Caenorhabditis elegans: one gene and its partners. The protein of the gene in region 1 purifies or fractionates together with the protein of each later gene. This does not show direct contact. Each region holds a gene or a part of one and is shown in the gene's direction. Other genes may lie near its edges.

Evidence for each region. The genes of interacting proteins can lie anywhere in the genome.
Region 2: the proteins of npp-12 (region 1) and npp-5 fractionate together in Caenorhabditis elegans (co-fractionation; one large-scale study listed by BioGRID). This does not show direct contact.
Region 3: the proteins of npp-12 (region 1) and sir-2.4 fractionate together in Caenorhabditis elegans (co-fractionation; one large-scale study listed by BioGRID). This does not show direct contact.

The regions. Positions count from the first base shown.
Region 1 is NC_003279.8:6,445,501-6,453,330, forward strand, and holds the start of npp-12 (BIG2 domain-containing protein), read left to right. Parts: upstream 1-1,803; 5' UTR 1,804-1,831; coding exon 1,832-1,986; intron 1,987-2,034; coding exon 2,035-2,183; intron 2,184-2,225; coding exon 2,226-2,590; intron 2,591-2,638; coding exon 2,639-2,900; intron 2,901-2,946; coding exon 2,947-3,125; intron 3,126-3,191; coding exon 3,192-4,475; intron 4,476-4,525; coding exon 4,526-5,450; intron 5,451-5,499; coding exon 5,500-5,869; intron 5,870-5,944; coding exon 5,945-6,101; intron 6,102-6,147; coding exon 6,148-6,326; intron 6,327-6,393; coding exon 6,394-6,911; intron 6,912-6,960; coding exon 6,961-7,289; intron 7,290-7,332; coding exon 7,333-7,648; intron 7,649-7,693; coding exon 7,694-7,830. Other genes in the region: T23H2.3 (Transcription termination factor 2), read right to left, coding at 1-42, 353-844, 896-964.
Region 2 is NC_003280.10:11,596,263-11,601,487, reverse strand, and holds npp-5 (Nuclear pore complex protein 5), read left to right. Parts: upstream 1-1,678; 5' UTR 1,679-1,682; coding exon 1,683-1,788; intron 1,789-1,844; coding exon 1,845-1,957; intron 1,958-2,005; coding exon 2,006-2,212; intron 2,213-2,264; coding exon 2,265-3,288; intron 3,289-3,334; coding exon 3,335-3,783; intron 3,784-3,964; coding exon 3,965-4,210; intron 4,211-4,266; coding exon 4,267-4,563; 3' UTR 4,564-4,721; downstream 4,722-5,225. UniProt on the Caenorhabditis elegans protein: Involved in kinetochore assembly and chromosome segregation during embryonic mitosis.
Region 3 is NC_003279.8:5,989,171-5,993,170, forward strand, and holds sir-2.4 (NAD-dependent protein deacetylase sir-2.4), read left to right. Parts: upstream 1-1,570; 5' UTR 1,571-1,574; coding exon 1,575-1,640; intron 1,641-1,987; coding exon 1,988-2,194; intron 2,195-2,250; coding exon 2,251-2,423; exon of another isoform or gene 2,424-2,536; intron 2,537-2,767; coding exon 2,768-3,065; intron 3,066-3,323; coding exon 3,324-3,458; 3' UTR 3,459-3,496; downstream 3,497-4,000. Other genes in the region: C06A5.3 (PWWP domain-containing protein), read left to right, coding at 34-312, 762-951, 998-1,172. UniProt on the Caenorhabditis elegans protein: NAD-dependent protein deacetylase.

The DNA.
Region 1 (7,830 bases):
AACCGAGGGAAGAGTTGAACGGTTTGGCGGCGGAGAGGTATTCTGTAAATTTATATATTTTTTGACAATAAAGCTGAAATTTTGTGAAAATATCGAAAAAGAGGATATAGATAATAATATCAATTTACTATGTCACATACCGAAGCACTAGCCGATTCCGTTGGGCGAAAATTGGTTAAACACGTCAGACGTTGGCTTGAAAACTTGCAAAAAGTGATTTTCTCGCTTGAAAAATCGTTTTCTAGATAATTTCTGGCAAGTAAAATGTGAAATTTTGGATAAATATCGGAAAAAAGTAAAAGGAAATTTTGAATTTTGAGCCAGCTTTAGGTCAATGTTTCCCCATTCTTACCATTGAATCATCCAAATCGGAAGCATGCCGGAACGTCTTCGCAATTGGCGAAAAATGCGAATTTATGAGATCACTGCTTTCAAGACTGCTATTTTCACCAGTTCCCCATCCACTTCGCGATGAGCCACCTGTCAGATCTTGATCCGATTGCTGTTTGATGGATTTTCTGAGGAGCCGCTCACGGAGCTGCTGCTTTGCGCGGGGCTCATCGGATTCCTGTAGCTTCTTGGTGATCGGGGTCACTGGTTTTTCGAAGCTGTTGTCAATGAAGCTTCTCGAACGATAGTGATCGTCTGTGGAGCATTTAGAGCTCCCGTAGGTGGTGGAGGAACCGGTTCTGGAGATGCTCTGCTTGGAGTTTGGAGTTGATGTGTACACGGTTGAAGCCATGGAATTCAGAGAGGCATCAATAATTGTCCTGGGCGGCTCGGAGCTATCAGTTGATCTCATTGAAGCTGTTTCATCGACTTCAGATGAGGAGCTGTGTCTTTCCTGAAATTCAATAATTTTAAAGCAAAATTCAAATGTTAAACTCGAACAAACCTTGCGATCCTCGTCTTCCGACGAGTCTGAGGAATCAATAATGACGTGATTCTTACGAAACGATGCCATCCTGCAATAATTGTCGTGAAATAAAACAGTTCTGGCTTGAAAATATTGGAAAAAAGAACGTGTTAGGAAAATCTTAACGTAAAATACAAAATTGTGCCTTTAAAAGTGTTTTTCTGAAAACCCCACAAAAATTCAAGGAAAACTGCAAAAACATTTCTTCGCGCAAAAATGGAAGTGCAGTGGAGCGCGCTTGCAATAATTCGAGACAACACGGGTTTTCGTAAACCGGGTCTTGGAGACATAGAAACTCGAGAAGAAACGTCTCATTGTGCACTTTCTGAGCACGTTTTATTGAAAATATCATAAAGTAACTTAAAATAAATAACTGTCAAATAATTTCTGCTGATGAAAACACGTGTTGTCGCAATATGTGTCGAAATGAAAATATCAGGAAAAAACCATAACAAAGAGATCTACGAGCAAATTTGTTAGGTAAAATTTTTTTTGAGGTAATATGAATATATCTTTGATCGAGAAGGAAAAAAGCGCATTTTATTTCACGGTATTAATTTCATGTTTTTTCATGTTTTTTCCCCAATTACGCTTTTTCTTCAGATTCCGAATCTAGAATTATGAACTACGGTCACCAAATTGGTTCATTGTCGTGAAGAACCGCGCCGTGTTTGCGTACAACGAAATAATTTTGAATTTTTTCGCAGAATTTCAGTTTCTTTTTTCTTCAATCCGATCTGAGTTATCGCTAAATTTATTTTTTATTCTACTATTTATTTAATGCATGATCACTATAGTTAATTAACTTTAACTTTTATATTAAATACATAAATTTCTCTCATCTCCACCTGTTTTCCTTTTCCATAAGAGAAATTTTCATTAATTTTTTTGTAGGTAGGAGAGCCGAATAGATCAATGATTATACTTCGATCACTGCTCGTTTTGGCTTTAGTGCAAATCACAATATCATACCGGCTAAATGTTCCTCGAGTTTTATTACCGTACCATCCAACGGTCCCAGTTTCATTTGTGCTGGAAGTAACGCATCCAACCGGAGGTTGTTTTACATGGTAACTCAATGAAATGATCTAATTATTTTTTAATATATTTAATTGCAGGAGATCTACTCGTCCCGATATTGTCTCTGTTAAACGTATCGAAACTAACGAAGCTGGATGTTCGGATAAAGCTGAAATTCGATCGGTTGCGAAGCCTGGAACTGTTGGAAGTTCGGAATTGTCTGCTGTTATTTTTGCAGAAGATAAAGGTATAATTTTTGTGAAATGTTGGTTTTAAAATTTTTATTAAGGATCCGGCACAACATTGAGTTGCGGCGTGACAGTAGATGAGATCGCAACTATTAGCATCGAAACAACAACGAAAGTTCTATTCGTGGACGCTGCCCCTGCTCGAATGACTGTTGACGCATTTAACGCCGATGGCGATCGATTCTCTACTCTCAGTGAAATTGCATTGGAATGGGAGCTTGCATCAACATCTTCAAATAAAGCGAAACCACTACGAATTGTTCCATTCGAGCAATCAACATATGAAGCTCCTTCTGAAATTGTTAAACTGGAAAAGAATCGAAAGAAAGGATATCTAATTCTGATTGAAGGTGTTGGAACAGGAACAGCCACATTGACAACCAAGTTCAGTGATGCTTATTTGCAGGTGAGCAATCTGCAAAACTACATTTACCTAGGATGTTTTTTTTTTCAGAAAGTAGCAGCGCACAACGTCGAACTCGCCGTCGTCGCAAATTTACTTTTGGTTCCATCTCAAGATGTTTACTTGCCAGTTCACTCAGTTCTTCCATTCCAAGTTTTAATTGTCAAGCAGCGTGGAACAGAAATAGTGAACATGCCTAATCCGTCATACGAACTTCAAATTGATGGTGGTGATGTGGCGTCGCTCGATAAAAAAAGTTCATCTGTGAGAGCTCTGACGATTGGAAACACTGCAGTACATCTCTTGAGCAGCCGTGAGTTGCATAAATGGATGTTTCTCGTTCAAAAAGAATTTTTCAGATGTCGATGTGCGCGCTAAAGCTGGATTACGTCCACCATCTACTGTCATTCATGTGGTAGACGCCGAATCTGTCCAATGGCATGTTTCAGGAGATAATTGGATGCTAGAAACCGGAAAACAGTATACAATCAACGTTGAACTTCTTGATGAGCACGGAAATGTTATGTTTGTTGCTGATGTAAGTTAAGCTCTGAAAAATTGAACAAAAAACAGCTGTCAATTTTTAAATTTTACAACTTTTCAGAATTCCCGTTTCGACACTCATATCGATGAGCAATTTCTTCATGTGGATTTCAAGTCTGAGAATGGTACCTGGTTCCTTGTGACTCCACTGAAACCCTCAAAAACTACTCTTCGAACCAAATTTGTTGCTATTATTGATGCCAAGGGAAATCGAATTGCACAAAGTGGCAAAATTGGCGGAGAGCAGCGAGTAACTATCGTTGATCCTGTGAGAATTGTTCCACCGGTTATCTATTTGCCATTCGTATCTGAGAAAAGATCACAAATTGATCTAACAGCAACTGGAGGCAGTGGATTGTTTGAGTGGACTTCTGAAGATGGACACGTGGCAACGGTGGATCTGCTAACTGGAAGAATGACTGCGAATTCATTAGGAAGCACTAAAGTGAAAGCAACTGATAAGAGAAATGATCAGCTTCGTGACATTGCCAGTGTTCATATTCTCGAAGTGTCTGGAATCGGATTTGGAGAAACTGTCCGTGAGACATTCGTCGGAGATACTCTTACATTAAATATCAAGGCAACCGGACTCACATCTGATGGACTTTTAGTTGAAATGTCCGATTGTCGAAATATCCGTGCTCATGTTCAAATTACGGATAATGCGTTGCTTCGGCACGAGTCTTCAGCTGATTCGTCGCTTCCAATGATGGGCACTGGTTGTGGAACAATAACTTTCAAAGGACTGTCATCAGGAGATGCCCGAGTGTCCATCAGTTATTTGGGCCACAAAGCGAGCATCGATGTAGCAGTCTACGAGAAATTGTCTATTTCCGAAGAATCTTCATCAATTGCACTCGGAAGTACTCACCCATTGACTGTGTCTGGTGGACCAAGACCGTGGATTTTGGATCCAGCAAACTTTTACAAAACACAAGAAACAAAGCAATCGCAACTTCAAGTCACATTTGAAAACGAAAAAGTTTTGTTCAAGTGTGGATCTTCAGAAGTAACAGAAGCTGTTCGTCTTCGTATTGGAAACCTCAAATCGTCAACGCTTCCACTTCCAATTCACTCTGAAATTACAGTTTCGATTTGTTGCGCAAAGCCAACTCGTCTTGAAATTTTTGACAAGAAACAACGTCCATCCAAGTGCCCATTGAATGTTCATTCAATGCTTATCAATACAAATGTAGAACTCGTTCTCCGTGGATCAGGAGTTTGTAATGGAGCTGCAACTCCGTTGGCCTCAATCAACGGGCTTTCACCGAAATGGACTACTTCTGATTCTGGTCTTTTGACGGTTAATCGTCATGGAATTGAGGCAGATGCGACTTCTGGAAAGGTGAGTTGATTCTGAAAACTAAGTTTTTTTTCACATAAATATATTTATAGAAAGAAGGCCAAGTTACTATTCAAGCTCAAGCTGGATCTCTCTCCACTAAATATGAAATCACAGTGAAAAAAGGATTGAACGTCGAACCAGCACGTCTCGTTCTTTGGAATGAAGCTGTCTCAAAAGGAACGTTCACTATAACTGGTGGATCTGGCCATTTCCATGTCGATAATCTGCCAACATCAGATTCACCAGTTGCAATTGCTCTCCGTGCAAGAAGTCTCACAGTTACGCCGAAGAATAATGGACAAGTGAATCTTCGTATTTCTGATGCTTGTTTGGTTGGGCAACATGCCGATGCTTCCGTAAGAATTGCTGATATTCATTCATTGGCGATTGACGCACCGCAGTTTGTGGAAATTGGACAAGAAGTTGAAGTAGAGATTCTGGCTCAAGACGAAACTGGAGCTTCATTCGAAAAAGAACATCGTCCACTTGCTGACGCTCAACTCGATGCAAGTAACAATCATGTAATTTTGACCAAAGTTGACGGACTTCGCTACACTCTTCGTGCCAACTCAATTGGAACTGTATCGCTGTCCGCATCATCAAAATCTTCATCAGGACGTGTACTCTCATCTAGACCACACACCGTTCAGATTTTCTCTCCTATTTTCTTGCAACCAAAAAGATTGACTTTGATTCCGGACTCCAAATTTCAGTTAGAAGTCGTTGGAGGTCCTCAACCGACGCCACCACTCGATTTTTCCTTGAATAATTCAATGATTGCATCCATTGAGCCTAATGCACTTATTACGTCGTCAGAACTTGGATATACAGCAATTACCGGAACTGTTCGTGTTGGTGATGGTCATGTTACCTTGGATACTGTTGTTCTTCGTGTTGCCTCTCTCGGTGGAATTATTCTGTCAGCGTCAAGCAGGAAAGTGGAAACTGGTGGAAGAGTAAACTTACGATTAAGAGGTATGTGACACTTTTCTTTCAAAAAAATTAATTATTTTTTATTCTTCAGGAGTGATCGCCGGAGCTGAAGACGAAGAACCATTTGCTTTTGGTGGAGCCATTTACCCGTTCAAAGTAACATGGAGCGTTTCTGATCCATCTGTTCTATTCACAACTCATCCCCTCGGTGGAGATGTAGTCGAACCAACTGATAATCAATTTGCCATTTGGTTCAATGCTATTCGAGGAGGATCGGTTACAGTGAAAGCGGTTGTTGAGCTTAATGAGAAGGCAAGAAAGCATTTCACTGGAAGAACCTCTACTTTCACCGCTGAAACAACAATTACAGTGGAAGATGGACTTTCATTAGTTCAACCAGAAATGGATATTAATACTGTCAGAGTGGCGCCAAATTCTCAATTGAAGATGGTCACTGCATGGTAAGTGAATATTTTTGCAGATTGTTCTCCTTTTAAACAACTCTAATTTCATTAATTCAACTTTATTATTTACAGGTCTCAAGCATCTTTCTCAGTTCCTTCTGATTTCTCGAGCCGGATCGTCATTTCTGCGGACGGTCATTTGATAACAAACGGAAAAGAAGGATCAGCTGCAATTACCGTTCGTAATGTGAACAGCCCGGATAATGAAACTGTTCTCATTCCTGTGACTGTAAGAAACGCTATATTTTTGTAGATTCACTTTTCCCTTTTTTCAGGTTTCTCGTGTCGCTTCTCTCGATGTTCACCCAACAATTGAACTTAAAAGTGCTTTTGAGAATTCTCCACTCATACATCTTCCTGTTGGAGCCCAAATCCAGCTAAACGTTGTTCCACGTGATGCTCGAGGTCGTCGTCTTGCGGCTGCCTCCAACAGTATCAATTTCAGACCACATAGGTAAGGAAAATTCCGATCTTTGAAAATTGTTTTTTTAAGATCCAAGATATTCACGGTATTCTTATAGATTCGACTTGACCGATATTGTCGCCACCAACAGCAATCAGACACTGACAATCACACTGAAAACCGCTGGAGATACTGTTCTCAGAATTGGTGATGCTTCAAATACCCACATTGCTACATTTATTCGTCTTTCTGCGTCTGAATCAATCCTTCCTCGAGCTGCTCACAAGTATGCAAACGATCTTGTTGTATCTGATGTGATTTGTCTTCAATCAAACATTTTCACTGTAGACGGATCTCGCTGGTCGTCTCAAAGTTCAAGTGAAGGAAGAATCAGTTGGCTCGATGAGAATCTCGGAGTTGCACAACTCACAAAGGCTGGAAATACTTTTATCAGACTTCATGCTGATAAACAAACAATTCATTCGAAGATCTCCGTTGTATTGCCATCTTCTCTTCGTTTCCCTGATGGTCAGAAACCAGAGTTTGTGAGCAATGATGAGCATTCGGTATTCGTAATTCCTGTCATTGCTGCAACCAATAATACTTCAGGAAGCAAAGTTTCGTCAATTTATGGAGGTGAGATTTGCTGTTGTTTCACATTTCATCCTCATCTTTGTTGTTTCAGAGTGCACTGCTGATCAAATTCGATCATTTGATGCGATTGGTGCTCCATTTGAATGTCAAGTTGCTTTCACTCGTCGTTCGAAGATCATTTCGGCTGTCAATTGGCTGACGGTTTCAGCAGTTTTCAGCCCAGTTTTTGGTTATGGGTGTGAAATTCGTCGATTTGATTCGAGTGTCTCAACTTCATCAATTGTTGTTCCCGAGGAACTATTGAAAGATCAATTTGATGCTAGAATTACTGCGAAATGGATTTCAGATGGTACAGTACAAGTAAATGATGCTACAATTGATGTTCCATTCCATTTCGCATTTATTGTCGAGGAGAAGGAGGTCAGTTACACGAAGTTTTTTTTTAATATTTTACTTTTTCCAGCTCGTATTCTCAAATATGAATCAAATCGAAGCAGCTCTCTCCATCTGGGCGCCTACATACGACTCGAAGCACATAGTCGTTTCTGGATGTGAAGGAGATATTGTATCGGTCGAGAAAACCTCAAGATCAAGTGATAAACATTCTGCAAAGGCAAATGTGTTCTATAACATCCGTCTCAACATCAAATCAGCAGCTCTGTTCACTGAACATGCAAAGAAATGCCAAATTTCTGTTGAGAACACGTTGACTGGTCAAGTGATTCGTGTTCCTGTCACTGTTCAGTTGTTGGATGAGACTGCTAAACAAGTATACAACGGTAAGTTTCAACTACAGGATTCAATAAAATTCCTAATCGTTTCAGCACTTGAAAGTCGTGGGGTAGTAGATGTTCTTCTGATTCTTGCACATAAGTACTCTCACGCTATTCCAACGTTGCTGTGGACTTGTCTTGTCGGAATCATCATTCTAGTTATCGGAATTTATGTTAAGATGAATGTA
Region 2 (5,225 bases), on another chromosome or scaffold:
TAGTTCTCTGAAAAAATATATGTAAAGCCAAATGGTACAAATTGAGATTTTTCTGTAAAGTTTACTTTCAATGGAAAGCCTAAAACTAATTGATTTTTAATTGGCATACTATTAGAAATTTGTAAAAATTTTCATTAATTTAAATCTGAACGTTTATCAGCGGCTTTAAACATTTTGAAAATATGCATTAATTTTTTAATAAACGCAAAAAGTTGAAAATATCTGCGTATTTTTTGTTGTAATTCAACATGATGTTCGAAATTCAATACATCTTTTTTTTCTTCTTTCTTATGCTCCTCCTCTCCCACACTATCAAGTTTCGGGGGTCTTCTCTCTCGTTTTTTTTGCAGAACTTGTTCCAAACTCACCTTTTACCATTGCATTTTGTGTTGTCTTTTAACTGAAGTCGGCAGAAAAAAATCCGGTGATCGATTTTGGGAATAGGTGGCGACGATTTTGAAAAGCAGGTATTTAGCGATGAAAATACTCGAAATTAATTTTAACAAATATGATTGATAAACTAAAGATATGAAGCTACTAAATATGGCTCGGTGAGCTGGAAATAGTGGGTGAAGGAGTGGAGAGGCAGAAACAAAGAGAGACGAAAAAGAAGAGGTGCACTACGGCTCCCATGCAAAACTAGCATCTTTTCGTTTTTTTTTTTTGGTTTTCTTGTCGGTTGGTGTAATTGATGTGATGGATTACACTTGAGAAGCCCAAGGAAGGAAGTACCAAAAAAGGGCAAACATTTTTTTACAAGGAATCTTTTTTTTGGTCTATAGTCCCCTTATAAGGACTTTTTAGAGGAGGAGGTGTAGGTTTCTTCCCTAGAAACAGAAAGCAGTCCAACATATTGAATATAACTTTTTAAATAATTTATAGAATTCTCCTGAATTTTTAAAAAAATAACTTTTTCAATTGTTCGAACATAACAAAAATGGACAGGCCGCCAAAGTCCTAGGAGATTGATTGCACAAAGCCGCAAGCTTTTCGTACGAAATAGTGCTCCAGAAATGGTTCCATTCTAGTTATTAAATCAAAACTTTGGTCTATTGTCCTCTCCATATGTTTTTCTCTAATTTGAGTATACAATATACCCTGTTTTGTGTGCATTGAGCCTGTGCATAAGACGAACGATACGAACGGCCCCTCTCCTCCTTACATTCTTATACACAGTCTCAATTCACACAAAACATGTGGTTCAAAGAATATATCCTTATGTAAGTAGCAAACGCAAGCGTAGGAGCACGTATTGATCGATTTATAGACAGTCACAATGCACACAAAACAGATGATTTAGAGGATAGCTGCTACTGGAACGCAAAAATACGATGTGCTTTAAAATAAGAGCTCTCATCAACCCATAACGTCGGCTCTCATTTTTGTTTTTTATAGCTGATTGCACCTTATTAAACAATTTGAAGATGAAAGGCACTACTCGGAAAAGTTTCAAATTGCAATTTCTTCCATTTCTGTGTTTCAAAAAAGTTATGAAAACCTGAATAAACCCCTCTTTTTTGAAAGTCCGCGCATTGTGTTCTCAATGGAGCGCACTACCATTATTTTCGTTTAAGCAAAAATTTTCAAATTTCGAAGGGTTTTCGTCGTGTAAAACGATTTTTTTTTCTGTTTCATGTAGTTTTTAAAACTTTATTTTCCTTTAAAAAAATATTTTTAGCACAATGACAGACTTGTTCGCTTCGGGGGACAATTCTTCCAACTCCTTCGACGACTCTAACGATGAAATCGCGCGCAAAAATGAAACCGCTTTCAAATACACTACAATTTGTGAGTTTAACACTCGATGCGAAAGGAAAACTATTTTAAAAATATATAATTTGCAGTTCACACAAATCTCTCAGAAAAACTGTACCACGAATTATGTGCATTGGCTTTCGGAGAGTTCGATATTCCTCAAGGGCAAATCTCGCCACTTATGTGGACCAGACTTCATGAGGTTTGATTCACTTGAAAAAGGCCTCTGATAAATGTAATATTTTTTCAGATCTATTCAGAAGTAGAAATGCAGACTCGAAAACTTCCTGCAGGATCTAATTATTCCGCCAGTTCACAAAAATACGCGAATGAAGCCGTGCAAATCGCCAGTGTTCTTTCAATTTATACCGCGTTGGCTCATGAATATGATGAGACTGTGGAAGTTTCTTTGCTTAGCAAACTAGTTGTAGAAGATGTGGAGTTTAGAAGGATTTATGTAAGATCTTAGACTTTTTATTCAATTAAACACATAATTTCTAATTTTTTAGGCTCTTCTTCTTTGGAGTGAGAAAGCGATCAGCGAACAGCAATATGAAAAAGGTCTTGGAGACAAAGTTCGGAAACTCGAAGGAATCAAATCTTCTAGAATCAATTCAATGATGGCTTTGAAACGACCAACATTTGGAGCAGCCAATGCTCCAAAAGATGCTTCACTGGATCCAGATGCTCCTGGTACCAAAGAAGATCAAGCTCTCGAGCAAATGGCGATGAACGTTTTCTTCCAATTAATTCGAAGTGGAGAAACTTCCAAAGCTGCGAATTTAGCCATTGATCTAGGAATGGGAGCGATCGGAGCTCAACTTCAGCTTCACTCGATGCTCCGGAACCCACTTGATATTCCACTAGAGGCATCTAAACAGAACTTTGGGGAATATAAAAGATCTCGACGCGCAAAGTACTACCAGATGACACAGAAATTGATAGAACAATCGCAGGGGAGCGAAGATGATGCTTACTGGATGCTGATTTCTGCGATTCGTGGGAATATCCAACCAATGCTAAAAGCTGGAAAGTCAGTGATTGAAAAAGTATGGGCATATGCAAATTCTGCAGTTCTCGCAAGAATTCTTGCCGCCGAGGGAGCCATGACACAGGAAACTATTTCGACGTTGTTCAACGTTCCACTAACTTCAAAATCAATCTTAGATGAGCTGAGATCAGAGGCTGATCGTACCAAAGAAGTATACATCCTACTCCGAGTGATCGATGACATGCTCAATGATGACATTGAAGATCTGTACAAGTTCGCAAATGAAACAGTCGGAGAATTTGTTCCAAATGATAAAAATTGTCAAGTGAACATGCTCGCACTCGACATCTTCTTCCACCTCGTCGCAGTTTCTTATGCGAGTGGTTTCGAACCAAATGACGATGGAAATGCTGTAATTATTCTTGGATTCGATGATCTTCGTGCACGCAGTGGAACCTCATCACACAAGAAAATGGCTGCATTTTATTCAAGATTCCTCCCAGAAGATATGAAGCTTCCAGAGATTGTGGAGACTATGAAAGGTAATTTAAAAACTGATGATGATTTTTAAAAAAATTCTCTTTTCAGCTGTCGATTCTGATGAAGAACGTGAAATCCTGGCTGAGTCGCTGAAACAATCTGACATTGATTTCGGACGCTGTGCGTGCACACTTATTGAGCAAATCAGAAAAGATGACAAAACGAAGGTTGTAACTTTGGAAGAGCAGATTGATCACTGGCATTGGCTTTTGATAGGTGGAGAAGAGACTGCACTGGCTGCTCTTGAAGAATGTAATCGACTAGTTCGTAAAGTGATGCTGTCGACACCGATTGACGAGTCTGTAATTAGGCAAATTATTCGAAAAGCGCTTCATTTCGAAGTTCCTAAGCTATTGTCACAAGCTGTTGAAAATGAAGCAACTGTACTTTCACTGATCACTGATGGAACCCTGTTTGAGCAAAAACCTGGATCGCAGCTGGCAATTAATAAAATCGAACACGCGGCTCTGGAATTTTATGGGCTCTGCTCTTTCGTGGTATGATTTCTTATCCAAATCAGCGGAATCTTTAACCACTGGTTAAAATTACAGTAATCTTTAAAGGTGCAAACCGTCTCGTATTGAACAAAAATTTGTCGTGTCGAGACCCCGTACTCAAAATTTCGCTGCTGAATAATATTCAATTTCATATTGGCCATTTTAAAATCCGAATTTTCAGGATGTGAACAACTTCATGATCACTATTGCTCTGAAACTTGGGCTCATGTTCAAGTACACACCGATCACTGATGATGAGCTTTCCATGATCGGAGGAGTCAAACGACTCGACAACACCACAGCTGCTGACTGGGAAGCTTCACTGAGAGTCCGAGCTCGTGCTGAGCAAACTCTGCGGGAAGAGGTGCTCAAAAAGAGAGCCGCCGAGCATAATACGCGAGTTGGAATGGTTCAACAACATTTAGATGTAGGATTTTTAGAATAAATTGTTGTGAAAAAAATTTTAAAAAATTGAAATTTCAGACTGTTCTTCCGATGCTCCGTGGGCTGGTTAACAATATTGGTGTGCGCCCGGAGTACTTTTTGAGCCCACGTGCTAATGGAGATCCAATGCGTGTACACCGGAAAGAAATTCAGGAGATTCGGAATCTCTTCCTCCCGCAATTCTTCATCCTTCTTGCACAAGCCGCCGTGAGACTCGACGATACCACAAATTTCAACGATTTCTTCACAAGCTTCAATAATGACCTCGGGCTCGATCAGGAATGGATGGTTTTCATCAAAGCTTTCTACGCAGAACTCAATCTCAAAGTCGAATAATTTTTATTTCATTGTTTTTTTGTTTGATACCTGTTTTGATTACCATTTTTTATCACTATATTTCTGACTTCTTTCTCATTTTTTTTAAATTTCCGGTCGATCTTTCACAGACACGATTGTATCCGTGCAGTATTTGAAAATAACAAATTTTTCTGATTTCTGTGGGTTTCACGTGAAGATCTTCTTCAAGAAGAGGTCATCAGATTGCGGAAGATCTATATTACCGATCTGACGCAAGACTACCATGTATATTTGGAAAGGAAAAATTTTCTGTGCAGAGGTTGATGGTTTAAATTTTGATTTAGATATTTTCTTCATTTAATTTGAAAATTTCCATGCCTGAAAATATCCTCAGTGAGGATTCTCACCTACCGTATACTTAAAGGCGCACACCTGTCTCAACCGGAGCGTTGCGAGACCCGCGGCATCAAACTACACACTGTGTTTTGATGATCTTTCGATCGTTCTCGAAAAAAGAAAGAGCAGAGTTCATTAAAACAAATGGCGGCAAAATGTCTATAAAGGCGAGTCGTTCTCTTCATTATCTTTTGATTTTCGATGTGTTCTCCTTATTGTTTTGTTCGTTGACCCCTTATCTGCATTCTCACCGCTACGCAACGTATATTTAACGTCAGCTTTTTCGCAGAAAATTTTTCTATATT
Region 3 (4,000 bases), 460 kb from region 1:
AAAGTTGTGAATCGAAGTTGACAAAGTTTTCAGAAGAAGAAGATGATGGATATCCTTCATTGAAACGAAAAGTTGGACGTCCCTCTAAAAATGATATCAAAATTCGATTAAAAATGCAAAAAGAAGTTGAAGAAAAGCAAGCAGCTGTAAATGCTGCACGAGCTTCTCAAATGGCGCTTGATGCTGCTGCAACATCGTCTGTTCCACAACAAAGAAGAAAGTATACGAAAAGGAAGAAGGATGGTTTGGGTGCAGGAACTGGAGGAAAAAATAGAGATTATAGTCCATTTGAGGATGATGTTAAGAAAAGATGTACGTTTTTTGTCCTCTAAATGTTTAACGATAGTGATCAATCAGAAACTAGCGTGTTATCGAGAAAAAAAAATTTTCAAAAAATTAACCATAAAATTCAATTTTTTAAAGATCAAATTTTGGGTTGAAAGGCATAACAAAACACATAAGAAAATAAATAAATTTATTCTGAAAAAGAGAAATTACCCAAATTTCAAGAGATTTTTCGAAATATCGAAAAAAAAACAATTTTTTTGTTGATTTTTTCAATTTTTAGAACATCGAAAATTGTAGATTCTTTTCGAATAAAATTGTATGTGTTCTGTTTTTGCTGATAAAATTGAATTTTTTTGTAAATTTTCTGAAATTTGTTTTCAATTTATCGGTTGTCTTTAAAAACCTCAAAAAATCGGATTTTTTTCGACGGCGCCCATGATCTAAAAGATTTTTGAATACTTTCTTTTCTTCAGCGACATCTCCTCTCAATGATCGTTCCGCATCATATCGACCGTGTGCAATGGAGAAACGTGCAAGATGGTGGACTGGAGAGAAAAGGAGAGTCGATGCATCACCAGAACGAGAATTCGGAACAACTCCCGCTGATTCTGCAGCTGCATTTCGAATGATGGCTCATGCTGTACGGTCTGCTGCTGTTACAAGGTACCAACCTGAATTTGAAGTTTTATAAATCGTTAAATATTTCCAGAGCTGATGAAGTTGGTACTGTAAATGGTTCACTTGATCTTCTAATGGATTCTCTTCTTGGATCAATAGGACCACTTCTTGCAAATTTGACAAAACTTCCAGTATTTCAAGGAGATCAGGAACTAGCTCAACAGCTATGGAATGCATCGGCTGTTCATATTCCAACATTTCAATAAAAGCAGCTAAAAATGCTAAAAAAAGGTGCTAAATATTGAAAATCCTTCGACCATTTTCTCTCATTATAATGTCTCAGATTTGTATCATTGTTATAATCATTTAGATATCAACTAGTATTATTAATTTTCTCAATTGTCTTTTTTTTGTATTAGCCGACTGTCTACGTTCACTACCTCATTGTTCAATGGTTTTTCTCTCACTGTCAGTACAAAACTAATAAATTTTACTGTTCCCCTATAAAAAACTGTGTTTTTTTATAAAATACAATTATTATGTATGGATTCAAGGCTCGTGAGTTTATTTTCGAAAAAGGCAACTTGCTAGAGAAGAAAATTCATCGATTTTCAAATTAGCCAGTTTTATCAGAAATTGAAAGAAATGAAGAATTTGTTTTCAGAAAAATGACATCAGTTTATGAAAGTCTTTTATCAGACTATCCAGACAAAGGAGTAATTGGAAAACCTGAGGTATTAAAATTAATTCTGAATTTTAAAAAAATTGAAAAAAAAAAGAAATTCTCATCGATTTTGCACTTAAAACACACTTTTTTTTCAAATTAAAAATTGCTAAGAACAAAAAAAAAGAACTTTGGATTTATCTTAAAGCCGTAAAAAGTTTGAGCCCAAAACGCAAGTACAAAAATGTTCAAAAAAAGGTATAATAGAATTATCCCTTTTCGCCAAAAAAAAACTTTGAATAATCACATTTTATAAAATACAAAAAAAAAATGAAATCTGCAAAATACAAAACCGTTTCGAGTAAGAAAAGATTTTTTAAACACAATAGTATAATATTTCTTATTCAAAATTTTCAGATCCGAGACACTGAAACTGAAATAATTGAGAAACTCCGCACTTTGTACAACCATTTCGTCCAAGCTAAACAAACCGGAAAACCAATTTTTGTTCTTATCGGAGCCGGTGTGAGCACTGGATCGAAACTTCCAGATTTTCGAGGAAAACAAGGCGTTTGGACATTACAAGCTGAAGGAAAACATGCAGAAGGAGTGGACTTTCAAGTTGTACGTTGTTTAATAAAAAAAAAACATTTCTTAAATATAAATAAAAATTTTGACAGGCTCGTCCCGGAGTCTCACACAAATCAATATTGGCACTTCACAAGGCGGGTTACATCAAAACGATAATCACACAGAATGTTGATGGATTGGATCGAAAAGTCGGGATTCCAGTTGAAGATCTCATTGAAGTACATGGAAATTTATTTCTAGAAGTCTGTCAATCATGTTTTAGGTATATTTTAAAAATCAATCCACGGAAAACTCGACCATCTTCATAAAATGAGTTAGGTGCATTCTCTCAAAAATCGGTTCGGTGGAACTATTGAAAACCCATCCAAGTCTATTGTAAGTTTCAAGTTTCAAAAAGATCTAACGTGAAAAATAAAGAAAAAAGGTTCTTATTTTTCTAGCTCACTTCACAAAAACCGCCGTCTAAATTCTGACAATTTTAAAACAAACGGAATATATAGTATAAAACTTTAGCATCAAATATTAGAATCAATTAATTTACAAGAACATTTTTTGGAAAAGTCTTAAACTTTTCTCATCGAAAGTGTTAAATATATTGTTTTACAGTGAATATGTACGAGAGGAAATTGTAATGAGTGTTGGCCTGTGTCCAACTGGTCGTAATTGTGAAGGAAACAAACGAACCGGGCGATCGTGTCGTGGTAAACTTCGTGATGCAACTCTCGATTGGGATACAGAAATCAGTTTAAATCATTTGGACAGAATCCGAAAAGCATGGAAACAAACATCTCATCTTCTTTGTATTGGAACATCACTTGAAATTATTCCAATGGGATCTCTACCACTTGATGCAAAATCAAAAGGAATTAAAACAACTACAATTAATTATCAGGAAACTGCACATGTATGTTCATTCTTCCATTCGCAAAGTTTTCGTTGCGGCGATAGGGATTTTACTTTAAAATACGCAGATTTGTCCTAAATGTCCAAAAAATAATTTCAAAAAGTTTGAGAAAAACCACTGGTTTCGGCTCCCTATCTGAATCAATTTCTATCATGAAATTCAGGACCATTCTACGTATTTTAAAATTCCCGTCGGCGCTATTCCAATTTTAAATTCTCTTGAAGCTTCGTATATTTTAATGATTTTCCTTTTTTTCAGGAAAAAATCGTGGAAACTGCAATTCATGCTGACGTTAAACTTATTCTTTACTCATTATGCAATGCACTTGGAGTGAATGTTGATCTTGGAGATGATCTACCGGATGAAGTGCCTATTCCATTGAAAATTAGCTAAAACTGAATTATAATTGAATTATATAAATAATTAATTTTGGATTTCGTGTTTTTATTAAAAATTGATTGGGAGACAGCTGTAAGAGAGAAGACTAATCAAATCACAATTTTTGTTTGTTGTATAAAACATTTTTGGGAAAAGAACAAGAAAAATGGAAGAGTGGTGGATAAAAAGCGAATTTTTTCAAAAAATTCAGATTTTTGAGAATAAAATCTTTTGAATAAAAAGAAGAAAGGGTGCGGTGTGGGGAGGATCACAAGTGGGTTCTTCGAAGAAAAATTGCATCTGCTGAGGGGAAAACTTGATAAAATCGATAAAGCTAGAGTTCAATAATAAATCAAATGAAACAACTACGACACCCTGCTGTAAGTTTCTGGGTATTTTCCAGAATAAAAAATTATACAAAATTTGATGAAACGGGGGGATTTCTATATATTTATGAATTTCTTTGTAATAAATTCATTATTAACTATTGGAGGGACGGGGCTGTGTGTGGAGTAAAACCAAAATAAACCGATTGAGATGAATGAGAATATAGAACA